3 linked regions of the Neurospora crassa OR74A genome follow. The protein of the gene in region 3 interacts with the protein of the main gene of each other region in a biochemical or structural test. Links are inferred from orthologs where the notes say so. Each region holds a gene or a part of one and is shown on either strand. Other genes may lie near its edges.

Evidence for each region. The genes of interacting proteins can lie anywhere in the genome.
Region 1: the proteins of NCU00366 (region 3) and NCU07831 form a complex in vitro, tested with the Saccharomyces cerevisiae proteins (6 studies listed by BioGRID). The link is inferred for Neurospora crassa OR74A from reciprocal best matches to the Saccharomyces cerevisiae genes TIF5 and NIP1.
Region 2: the proteins of NCU00366 (region 3) and NCU02810 form a complex in vitro, tested with the Saccharomyces cerevisiae proteins (2 studies listed by BioGRID). The link is inferred for Neurospora crassa OR74A from reciprocal best matches to the Saccharomyces cerevisiae genes TIF5 and GCD11.

Annotation. Positions count from the first base shown.
Region 1 is NC_026503.1:1,003,912-1,007,734, forward strand, and holds the start of NCU07831 (eukaryotic translation initiation factor 3), read right to left. Parts: upstream 2,605-3,823; 5' UTR 2,298-2,604; coding exon 1,925-2,297; intron 1,851-1,924; coding exon 868-1,850; intron 810-867; coding exon 1-809. Other genes in the region: NCU07832 (pre-mRNA processing splicing factor 8), read left to right, coding at 3,657-3,823. UniProt on the Saccharomyces cerevisiae protein: Component of the eukaryotic translation initiation factor 3 (eIF-3) complex, which is involved in protein synthesis of a specialized repertoire of mRNAs and, together with other initiation factors, stimulates binding of mRNA and methionyl-tRNAi to the 40S ribosome.
Region 2 is NC_026501.1:9,046,692-9,050,491, reverse strand, and holds NCU02810 (eukaryotic translation initiation factor 2 gamma subunit), read right to left. Parts: upstream 2,828-3,800; 5' UTR 2,414-2,827; coding exon 1,896-2,413; intron 1,831-1,895; coding exon 844-1,830; intron 771-843; coding exon 740-770; 3' UTR 280-739; downstream 1-279. UniProt on the Saccharomyces cerevisiae protein: As a subunit of eukaryotic initiation factor 2 eIF2, involved in the early steps of protein synthesis.
Region 3 is NC_026503.1:3,590,881-3,594,480, reverse strand, and holds the start of NCU00366 (eukaryotic translation initiation factor 5), read right to left. Parts: upstream 2,244-3,600; 5' UTR 1,359-2,243; coding exon 81-1,358; 3' UTR 1-80. Other genes in the region: NCU11030 (hypothetical protein), read right to left, coding at 3,571-3,600. UniProt on the Saccharomyces cerevisiae protein: Catalyzes the hydrolysis of GTP bound to the 40S ribosomal initiation complex (40S.mRNA.Met-tRNA[F].eIF-2.GTP) with the subsequent joining of a 60S ribosomal subunit resulting in the release of eIF-2 and the guanine nucleotide.

The DNA.
Region 1 (3,823 bases), about 2.6 Mb from region 3:
TGGATCTGCTTGGCGAGCATGGTCTTGATACCCTCGGTGTTCGGCATCAAGTCCCAGATCTTGATGCTGTGAATGAAGTCGGTGGCCTTCTTCCACTCACCAGCAGCAAGGGCCTTGGAGGCCTGCATGACGTGATCCCTGGTGTTCTCCGGAGGCCCGGTAAAGATCTGGCGTTCATGGTACTCGAGCATACGGCGGTAGGTCTTGCTGATGATCCTCTTCTTGACATCGGGCGAAGAACCGGTTTGGGCGAGCAGAGGAATCTCGAGGAGCATGCTGCAGGTAAGGTAGACGCACTCAAGGAGCTCGAGGTTGATGTGCATGTGGAAGGGAAGCTGGCGCTGCTTCTCGAGGCGCTCCTGCTCAGGGGTGACCTGGCTGTAACGCTGGATCATGACGCCCTGAGCAAGAAGCTCCTTTTGACGGCCACTGCCGCAGATCTCCTGGAGGGTGTTCTGGGCGTCGTAGACGAGACCCTTGCGGAAAGCGCAAAGGCCGACCTGAACGAGGGTGCGGTTGTAGAGAATCTGGGTGGCGATGTCGAAGTTGGCGATAGTCTCCTGAAGATGGGAAGTGAGCATCAGGTCGCGAGACTTGTAGTACTCATCGTGCAGAGCCAAGAAGTAGATCTGGCAAAGCATGGCACGGGCGCGGATGATGCCCTCGCTGTTCTCGAACAGGTAGTTAGAAAGGATGTTGATGAGCTTGCCAGCATCGCCGGATTGGCTGCGGGGGGTAATTTCAGAATCGGCCTCAGCAGAAACCTGCTTCCACGCGTTCTCCTCGAGGATCTTGACGACTTGGGCGGGCTGAAAGAAGATGATTAGCAAAGACGGCTGAGTATTCCAGCATTAGCTCTATACATACCTTGTAGTAAACATGGTCCAGACGCCTCTGGATGATGCGGTTCAAGCTCTCCTGGGGAACCTCGAGGGAAGCATCCTTGCGGAGGTGCTCGTAGTAAAGAAGACCACGGAAGATGGTGTTGTAAAGAGAGCCCTCATCGGTTAGCCTGTCGATGTACTCAGAGGTGTGAGGATCGATGGCTTGGAGGGAGCGGGTGAGCTCGTCATCGAGACGCTCAATGAGCGAGACAACGCTGCCGGGAACCTTGAGGTACTTCTCACCCTCGGGGATGGTGGGGAGCTTGTCATCATCATCCCACTCCTCAGCGCCCTCAACAACAACATGGTCCTTCTCCTTCTCGAGGATCTCCAAGAGAGAGGCAAGGTCACGCTCAGCGGCCTTCCACTGGTCCAAAGGCATCTGGGCGGCGCCACCAGCACCAAGATCGAAGCGGGCAGAAATAAGGGTCTGGAGGACACGGATCTTCTGGTAAGGGGTAATGGGGACGACCTTGTTGAGGGTCTCCATAACCTTGATCTGCTCGAGGCGGTCGGTGTTCTTCTTGCCGCGAGACTCGATAATGGCGCGGAGGTGCTTGAGGATGCTCTCGGGGGTGTACTGAACAACCTTGCCGCGCGAATCGACCGTAGAGAAGCCCTTGTCGTCCTCTTCCTGCTGCTCAGCACTGACGACGGGAGCCTCGAACCGGACCTTGGAAACAACCTTGGGCGCGGCAACCTCATCATCCGACTCCATGAAAGCGTCCGCATCCTTCCTGTAGGCATCGATCTGGGTCTGGTACTCCTTATTGTTCTTGCGGATGCGCTGCTTGACGGCGTTGAGACCACGGGCATTTGTCGCGTTCATCTTCTTGGGAGTGACCTTTTGCTTGGCGAGAGTCTCGTTCATGAAGTCCTCAAGATCGGCAATGGCCTTGATGTAGGACTTGGGCGCCTTGCTGCCATCTTGGAGCTTGACGACCTGACGGTTGAGCTTGTCGAATTCTAAAGCGGGGAGGGGAGTAAGTATCGGTGCAGGACATATCGAGGGTGTATGCATGCATGAAAGATATACGAACCGTTGGCGATAAGACTCCAGTCGTTGATCTTCTGGCCGTTCTGGATCTGGCTGATGGTGGACTCGAGTTCGTCGAAGCGCTTGTCCTTGGCGCTCTTGACCTTGGTGGTGGCTTCATCGTCGCTCTGCTCTTCCTCCTCCTCCTCGGACTCGTCGTCGCTCTGCAAGAAACGGGAGGCACCCTTCTTCTTGGTTCCTTCTTCCTCGTCGCTGCTGGACTCCTCGTCGCTCTCCTCCTCGTCAGACTCCTCCTCAGACGAAGACTCGTCCTCGGCCTGAACCTTCTCCTCCTCCTCCTCCGAAGTGTAGACCTCCTCCTCCTCGGAGCTGCTGTCGGTGGAGCTGTCGTCACCGCCGCGGAAGAAACGAGACATGGTTGCGGTCTCTTTCGATAGACTCGGAATAAATATGCGGGTTCCGGGGGTATGGGCGCGATGCAGAAGTCCGGGTTACCGGTATGGGTACTTGGAGTGGTGGACGGAAGTGGTGATGGTCCGGATGGTTGGCAAAGCAAAACCCGGCTGCGGCGAGGCGGACAGAGGGGTCAAAGAATTAATTTTCACTGAAAGGCCGTTTTGGTGGGGGCGATTTGGGGCTTAGCGAATCGAGCGGAGCTGTTTGGGCCTCGAGCGCTGTAATGATTGGGTATGACTTAATCCGAGCAAGGGGTGTGGGGGGAGAGGATACTTGCTCCGCGGGGGGGAGGCTGAACTTATGAGCTGAATGTACCTGCTTCCGCTTGGAGATCGCAGGACGGGATTCCTAGAAGATGAAGATAAGGTCTGAACCTTGCAGATGTTCGCATGAGGGATCTGTCAGAGGAACGGGTTTTTGTGTATACTTTGGCGAGCGGAGCGAGGGAACAATATCAAGCATTGCTTTGTCAGGCCTTCACTATGAGATTCAACACCTGTCGTCTGGGTACTTGGGCGCAAACAGCCAGCCAGCTGATGCCCCACCTTCAATGTATCAGCTACCTGAACTGATAATGTATCACTATACTCGGTTACATGCATCTGAGACGTGCTGTGAGCTTGTCAAGCCAGATCTACCACGTAACGGGGATTGCGTATCGAAAGTTACAGTACGTAACAGGAGACGTTTCGCCACGAAGTCGAGAAGTGACAGCCCAGCCTGCCCAGTCGCTGCAGGCAACCAACCCCAGGCCCTCTTTCACTAACTGGAGTGGCGGGGACGCTACCGGGCTGCAGCTGCCAACAAGCACCTGCACAGCGAAGAATCCCGCTGCCAGGTTTCCCGTTTTGCGCGCCAGGACCTGGACCGCCCGCCCTGACCTCTGAACTTTATCGACCGCCCACGCAGCTGTCGCGAGGCTGTTCAAGTTTTTCGTAACGAGGCCAACCTGCCAACGTCAACGCCAGCATCCTGGCGCCACCAAACCACACTTTCACGAATACAACATCCACCTCTCCATTCTCAGCTTGATCGACCATCGCCGCGATTTGGTGCGAGGTCGACCTACGCCCATTTCCATCTAAAACCAATGGGAATCTAATATTTGCCAGTCCTTTTTTCTCTTCCTCAGCGAGACAGGCCTTGGAACGACGCACGCGGACTGCAAACCGCCATCGCGCGGACAGGCGACTTCACGGTATCCAGCCTTCTATCCATCTCGTCGCCAACGCCGACTGGTACACGCTTCTGACGAAGACGATTACAACGAAACAACCACATAAACGTCAACAAAGCTTCATCAAGCAGAAATCGAAAAAATGTCCTATCCGCCACCACCACCTCCTCCCCCCGGCTGGGGCGCTCCTCCGCCGCCATCAGCACCTCCGCCGCCGCCGCCTCCGTCCTCTCTCCCACCTCCTCCTGCCCTCCCAGCACCGCCGCCGCCTGGGTTCTTTCCACCAACCGACCCTCATGTTGCCAAGTT
Region 2 (3,800 bases), on a different chromosome or scaffold from region 3:
AAGGGGGAGGGAATTGTGATAGGTATGATAGACTATCAGGTCTAGAAAGAGAAAAATGAATAGAGTTACGTACGGATACATACTCGACTGTGTCCCATGAAGAGTATTGTTAGGTATATTCTTGGACTCTTTCCATCTATCCGAGCCATTACCATAGCCTAGTATAATGGTAAGATGGTCATTACGTCGAAGACTCATGGCGGAATCAATGTATTTATCTTCTCTACTTCACTCTTTCAAGTTTACTCTTATCATCACCACTGGCTAATAAACTCAATCCAAGTACGTCGGACCTTGACAAAATCAACGTAATGGCATCTTCTCTACCTCTACCACTACTTGGTAAACCCAAAGTACGTCGGTACCAAACATAACTTTTTGTACAAAAACTCCTAATGGTCCGATAATGCGCTTCTCTTCACGAGTTCCTCTTTTCACAACATTCCTCGCTCATCTTCTTCAACGAATCGTATGACCAGTCTTTCTACTGTCCTCGGCCCCAAGTTGGATAAAAATAAGACCATGTACAAATTTCACAAGGCTAGTTTTTAGAAACACAGGTCCCGGTTTCCCCACGCTACGCCGTTTCCTTCCGTGTCCGCGCCCAAGTTTCCATTCTTTGATCATCCTCCAACGACTTTTTGGATATTCATCATTAGAGCAACCAAAAATTAACAACCTTTTAATTTTCCTCCTAATCAAGCGATGTATAAACTTTGGATATTTTCTGGTCGCTCGCTTAAGAGGTAGAAGGCTCGAGGGTGACACCGCTGTTTTTTTTGTTAGTGGTTATTCAGTGGTGATAAGTTATGGGGTAAAGAAATAGAAAAGAAAAAAACTTACGCAGCAATGGTAGCCCAACCGATAAGACGCCAGTGCTTCTCGATACGTCTGGAAAGGGCAACCTTCTCGCCGATGCTCGTGCAGGCAGGGGAGGTGAGGATGAGCTTGGCGGCATCCTTCTTAATGGCGGAGACCTTGGCACCGGTGGAGGTGGAACCAATGTTGACCATGATGACTTCGTTCTTGGCAAGCTTGTCGACCTTGGCCTGCTTGCCGTCGGCGGTGCGGACACCGAGAAGGCGGCGGAGGAGGTAGAAGTTAACTTCGATCTCGGAGTAGATTTCGGGGAGGCGGCCCTTGAGACCGAGGACGAAACCGACCAGACGATCGGCACGGCAAAGGGTAGGATCGATGCGGGTACCAACACCAATGAGACCACCGGGCACGGCGTACTTGAGGTCGTTGGCCTCGGAGTTGAGGGAGACAATCCTGCTGAAGATGGGAGTGCACTTGAGGTCGCCCTTCTCGTCACGGGTGACGATACCGGGACGGATCTCAATCTCGTCGCCGAGCTTGAGGACACCGTGGAGAATGGAACCACCGGCAACACCACCCTTGAGCTCGTCGATCTCGGCACCGGGCTTGTTGACGTCGAAGGAACGAATGACAATCATCTGGGGGTCCATGGAGAAATCCCTGGGAGGAACGGGGATGGTGTTGACGATGGCATCGTTGATGGCGTCAATGTTGAACTTGAGCTGGGCCGAGATGGGGATGATGGGCGACTTTCCGGCAACGGTACCACGGATGAACTTGAGGATGGACTCGTAGTGCTGCTTGGCGGCCTCCTCGCGCATGAGATCGACCTTGTTCTGGAGGATGATGATCTTGTCGAGCTTCATGATCTCGATGGCGGCCAAATGTTCGGAGGTCTGGGGCTGAGGGCAGGATTCGTTTCCGGCAATCAGGAGGAGAGCGGCGTCCATGACGGCGGCACCTGAAAGCATAGTGCTCATGAGAATATCGTGACCAGGGCAGTCGACGAAGCTGGGAGGAGGAGACACATGGTCAGTCATTCATTGGCGCAAATGATGTTATGTTAAACAACTTACGAGACATGGCGCAACAGACGGTAGGTGCCCTCGCAACCCTCGCGCTCGCAAGGGGGATCAACCTCCTTCTCGGACTTGTAACTCCTGTAGCATGTCGGGCGAGGGCATGCTGGGTTGTCGCACTTGTAGATCTTTGCGTTGGCGTAACCGAGCTTGATTGTGATGTTGCGGATGAGCTCGTTCTTGAAACGGACCGTCTGGACGCCCGAGATGGCTTTTACTACTGTCGACTTGCCGTGGGCGACGTGGCCGATGGTGCCGATGTTGATGGTGGCCTGTCGCGCAATGATCTCGGGGGTGAGGGGGCTGAGGGTCTTGACGTCGAGGTCCTTGGGATCGGTCTGGGGAGGAAGGGGAGGTCTCTGGACGACGGGGGCGGGGGCCTTCTTGAGGGCCGACTTGCGCGGCTTGGCCTCGACCTCGTTGTCGGACTCGTGCTGGTCGACGTGAGACTCGTTGTCGGAGCCCGAGTCGGACTCGACGATGTCGTTGCCAAACTTGTCGCCGTTGGTAGCCATGATTGTGGATGTGGGTGGATGGAGGTGAGGTGTGGAGGTGAGTTAGGTTGGGTCGTCAAGTCGATGGATGGATGTGTCGCGGGGCAGTAATTTTTTCGCTTTCGGTGAAGCAACCCCTCTTGCTGTGTACTGTGTAGTGGGTGGTGTATGCCTGGTAGTTGCTGTGTACTTTTCTAGACCCTGCTCCTTGGTGTGGGTATGTATGTGGGTGTCCTACTGTCTCCGCAACGGGACTCGCGATATTTGTGATAGCGGACGTTGTTGGTGGACGGTAGAGGTAGTAAAACTGGACCTGCCAAAATAGTGGGGTTACAGCGAAGGTTGGAGGAAGGCTGAGAAGAAAAACTGCCTGCCTGGTGGATGACTCTGACGATATTTGACTTGTATTTGGCTTGTGCTAGGTCGGTATTTTCCTGTGCTGCCGCTGCCAGCTGCGACCAACAAGGCGAGAGCCTCACACATTCCGCTCTGCGAACCTGCCCTGCGTGCGCCCAACCCTTCCCGCCTTTGCCGCTGCCCCACTAAGCACGGTTTTCGGTTTAGCCCGACCGTCGCCTGCCCCACAAGGGCCGATAAGAGCGCGATAAGGACCAAGTAAGTGTAGTGCTAAAGTCCAGAGCTCAGTCACGGTTCAGCTTCAACATCATTGAGGTGACTTTTGGAACCTCTCTCCTATCAAGAGTTCGCCATCTACACTTTTATCCAACCCTCTGTCCCGTCTGTGTCGGCAGAAACTTACTCACAGCGTACACGGTAACTCAACGCTGAGAATTATATCAACTGAACGTTGAGAACGGGTACATTGTATCGATCGGCGAGTTGAATCCGGTTTCTTTCTTTGAGAACAATCGTTACTCTGCAACGGCCTCTCCCATTGACACCGGCATCCTTCGACGTACATACAAACGTTTCCGGGTCGATAAGCTGATCCATCATCAACAACGCCGAGTCTGCTTGTCGTCGTCAACTCTGAGGAGCACCCACGATGCTGGTCATGGCCACAGTCTCAACTCTATGAAGCTTGGTTAAGGGCGTCATCAAAGTCGTACCTGCTGCCAATGCCTGACTGTGGAGCGAAAAGGTAGGACACGAGGTGTCTTCTCCTGGATTCGACCCTTTCCCGTCAAGTTATTCGATATCTTCACGAAAGGTGAGGCTCATCGCTCTTGGGATAATAAGGGTTCAACTAGGGCTCAGTCTCGGGATAATAGCGCTGTGAAGAGTTGAGCCAAGTGGCCCGAATGTTGTCCTCCGTGATCTTGGACTGAGGCAGGGAGTAACTGCAACAGCTGTGCAAGCGTTACAGGATCATGTTATGTTTTGAGTGTATTTTGCTGGGAATATGCTCGATATACATCAAAACTACATCGGCCACCAACACGCTTCT
Region 3 (3,600 bases):
TCAAAACAACACAAAAGAGCAAGCTAGACTAGGCATCAAGCGGCAACGGAAGTAGTATCCTCAGTGGCGAGGGACATGATTTACTCATCGTCCTCCTCCTCAGATTCCTCCTCCTCAGACTCGGCCTCGGCGAGCCAGGTGAGGAAGGGCTCAGCAGCCTTGCGGATCTTCTTGGAAGTAGAGCCATCGACGTACTTCTTGGAAGCCTTGCTACCCCACTTGGTGATGACCTCCTCGGAGCAGAGGTCGTGGTGGTAGTAGAGCTGGAGAATCTTGACAATCTTGTCATAAGACTCCTTGCCGAGGTCGGCAAGGAGACGCTCGGTACCGCCAAGGAGGGCCTTCTCGTGACGCTCGGAGGTAACGAGTCTCTTGAGCATAGGAGCACGCTTGGGGATCTGAGCAACAATGTTCTCGTCAAAAAGACACTGAACAAGAACCTGGACGGTGCGGTGCTTGGCATCAATGCCGAGCTCCTTGGCCTTGAGGTAGATCTCGACATCGTCGACATTGTTAATGCCACCCTTGGCCTTGGCTTCATCCTCGATCCAAGTGCCGAGCTGGTCGTAGACGGTGTTTCCACCCTCCTCCTCCTCGTCTTCTTCACCATTCAGGACGAGCTTCTGCTTGAATTCGCCAGGAAGGTTCTGCTGACGGGCACGGACGGCCTCCTCGCTCATGTCGACAGCCCACTCCTCCTCCTTGGGAGCCTCTCTCTTGCCCAACTGCAAGCTCTGAGCCTCAGACTTGATCTTGCGAGTGAGCTCATCATCGTCGCTAGCATATTCAATGTTCTTATCCTCGATGGCAGGAGAGGCCTGGTCGGAACCGTTCTCGTCACCGGAACCTTCCTTATCGCCGCCGTTCTGGCGAGCCTTGCGGGCCGCCTTGCGCTCGGCCTTGTCCTTCTTGCTCTTCTTGGGGACGTTCTTGAGGATGAAGGAGGTCAGCTTGAGCTGGGGCTCAACCTTGCTGCGCTGGCCACAGGCCTTGCAGTCGAGAGTGATCTTCTCGTCCTTGATCTGGACAACCGTCTCGGGGTTCTTGCACTTCTTGCAGAGGACAAACTTGGCAATGAAGCCATCGAGAAGATCCTGGAGCTTGGCGGCCTCGTGGGAGCCGTTGATGATCCAGCGGTCATCAGGAGGATCAATGTTGGTTTGAGCACCAAGCTCGAAACCAAAGTACTTGATCAAATAGCCACCGGGACGAGCCAGGGACTGGGCAACGCTGCTGAGGTTGACAACGACGGTCTTGATACCGTTACCCTTGCCTTCAATCTTGGTCTGGATACGCTCCATCTTGTAGCGGTAGAAGGGGTCGGGGTTGTCCCGACGAACGTTGATAAGAGCACCCATTTTGGCGGTATTGACGGCGAAACAGGATGATGTTTGTAGTATTGTTTTGTTGGAGTTTGTTGGGAGTCTGGTAGACGATACCTAACGAGGGCAGACTAGTAGACTGGTCGACGATGTCGTGGAAAGCGAGGCTTCTTGTTGCACGGAGAGCGTGTGAGGAAGATCGAGAGGCGAGACGAGCCAAAGGGGTCAGTTATTGACGAGTACTTTGAGTTGACATAGGGTAGACCGTGTGGTTAACGAAGTCGAAGGTAGGCATTAACGCTGGCAGACGACCGTGGGAATGGCGATTCAACCGTCGGTACTTTGTTGGAAGCTACAGGGTTTCCGCGATATGCGAAAATGCAGCTTGACGGGGGGAGAGTGTCGGAAGACGGCGTGCTGGTCGTGCTGATACATAAACAACGCTGTGTCGCGCAAAATGCTTATGTTGGGTCTGGTGGTGGTTGTTGTTCTGAACCTGGGCGGTGCTGGAACAGAAAGCTGGGCGGGAGAGGATGGCTTTTGAGGCAAGCGAAATTTTTTTTCTCCCTCTGTGACGAGCGGGCTTCCTTTTCTTGACGGAGCGGAGCGGATGGAGTCGAGTGACTTTGTGTGGGTTTCTGCTGGGATAGTGGATTCACTTCACTTCCGTGGTGCGGCACCCGAAATCCGGGGGAGGTGGAGTTGATGGACAGATGGACAGAGAGCCCGGTCGCCTTTGTGGTCTTGGATAGATTCAAGGACGATGTCGCTGCTGATGGCGGTTGATGGGTAGAATGAAGTTGAGGTTAGTTTGGCAAAAAAGAGGCAGCAAGCAAGAGTTTTTAAAAAAGGACGAGAAAGCAAGTGGATGTGGATCGGTGCTGCAGAATGGAGCCAAACCGGGCACGGGCAACAAGGCGGGCAGTCACTGGACGAGCAAGCAAGAGGATTTGTCGGCCAAAGGATTTTCGTGGTGCCCTGGCTAGCCCCCCCATGTACTGTACACTACCTAGTGTAGTACCTGTGGCTCATGGCAGAGCAAGTCTAGGGTACTTCTTGTTTGGCAGGTAATCACCACCACCAGCGGGCTATGGGCAAAGTACCCGAGACATGTGTCCGTTCTCCAAGCCAGGCAACACCAGTTGCCGTGCAGGTACTGCGTGCAGTTCGTTCTTTCACACACTTCGTTTCGACACCGACAATGGAAGAAGGTCCCGTCGCGTTCCATTCCTACCTGCTTACCATCTCCCCGCCCACTGCAACGGGCAGCACAGCAACAGGACGGACGCGCAATGGCGTATGTTCCGAATGGCAAGTTAGGGAACTTGAAAGATTTTGATGCCATTTTGCCCCTCATCCACTCGGCGTTTCCACGCCTCTGCTTTCGATGCTCGAGTTCCGGCCCAAGGAATGCCTCTTGCAACAAGCTGACTCGCCGGACGGTGGCCAGAAGGCACCTGGACACAGAAGGCCGGATGAAAAGGCGGGACTCTTTGATGACCAGCCGGTATACACTAGAAGATCCACGCAGATGGGGGCGTTCCCTGTGTCTGTGCAATGTCCATCCATCCACACCAGAGACCAGTTCCACTTTGGTTCATTGTACTTTCAGTAACCGAGCCAGGCGGAGGAGGCCTTTGTAGTTGTCGGTCAAGTGAAAGTGACGGTCTCCCTCTCCGCCGTGTGCCTGGGTGTCTCACAACAATTACAGCTTGTCTGGGAAAGCCAATTTCTCTCCTTGGGAAACTTCGGAGTTACGGGGATGTGAAAAATGGGCGGCATTCGGGAAGAATCCGAAACACACGCGATATGTTTTGTCAAGGGAAGGCGGCAATATCAATCAACGCTTAACCAAGTCAACTACCTCTAGGTATGTACACTAGACTCATGCGACAAGCTAGTGTAGAACCAGCCCGCACCAATATCTAGGTAGATCTGTATCCGGCAAAGCGCCCCCCCAAACAGGCAATTACTATGCACCTAAGTCGTTAGGTATTGTGTACGGTTTCTTTCAGGGACGGCATCTCTCACCTCTGCGTCTCTCATTCTCAAGCCAGGGGCATCTGTTTGGCTGCAGGTATCATGTATACTTTCATAGCTCGCAAACAAACAACTTGTCTAAATCTCTTGATGACCTTTCGTGGCCATTTGGCAAGACACCAAGACTGTCAAACATCTATACTTACAGCTACATCTATTGTAATACAAGCCGTCTAAAACACATCCCGCAAGACCCCTGTACCATCACCTACTGCCCACCGATCGGTTCAAACTTCAA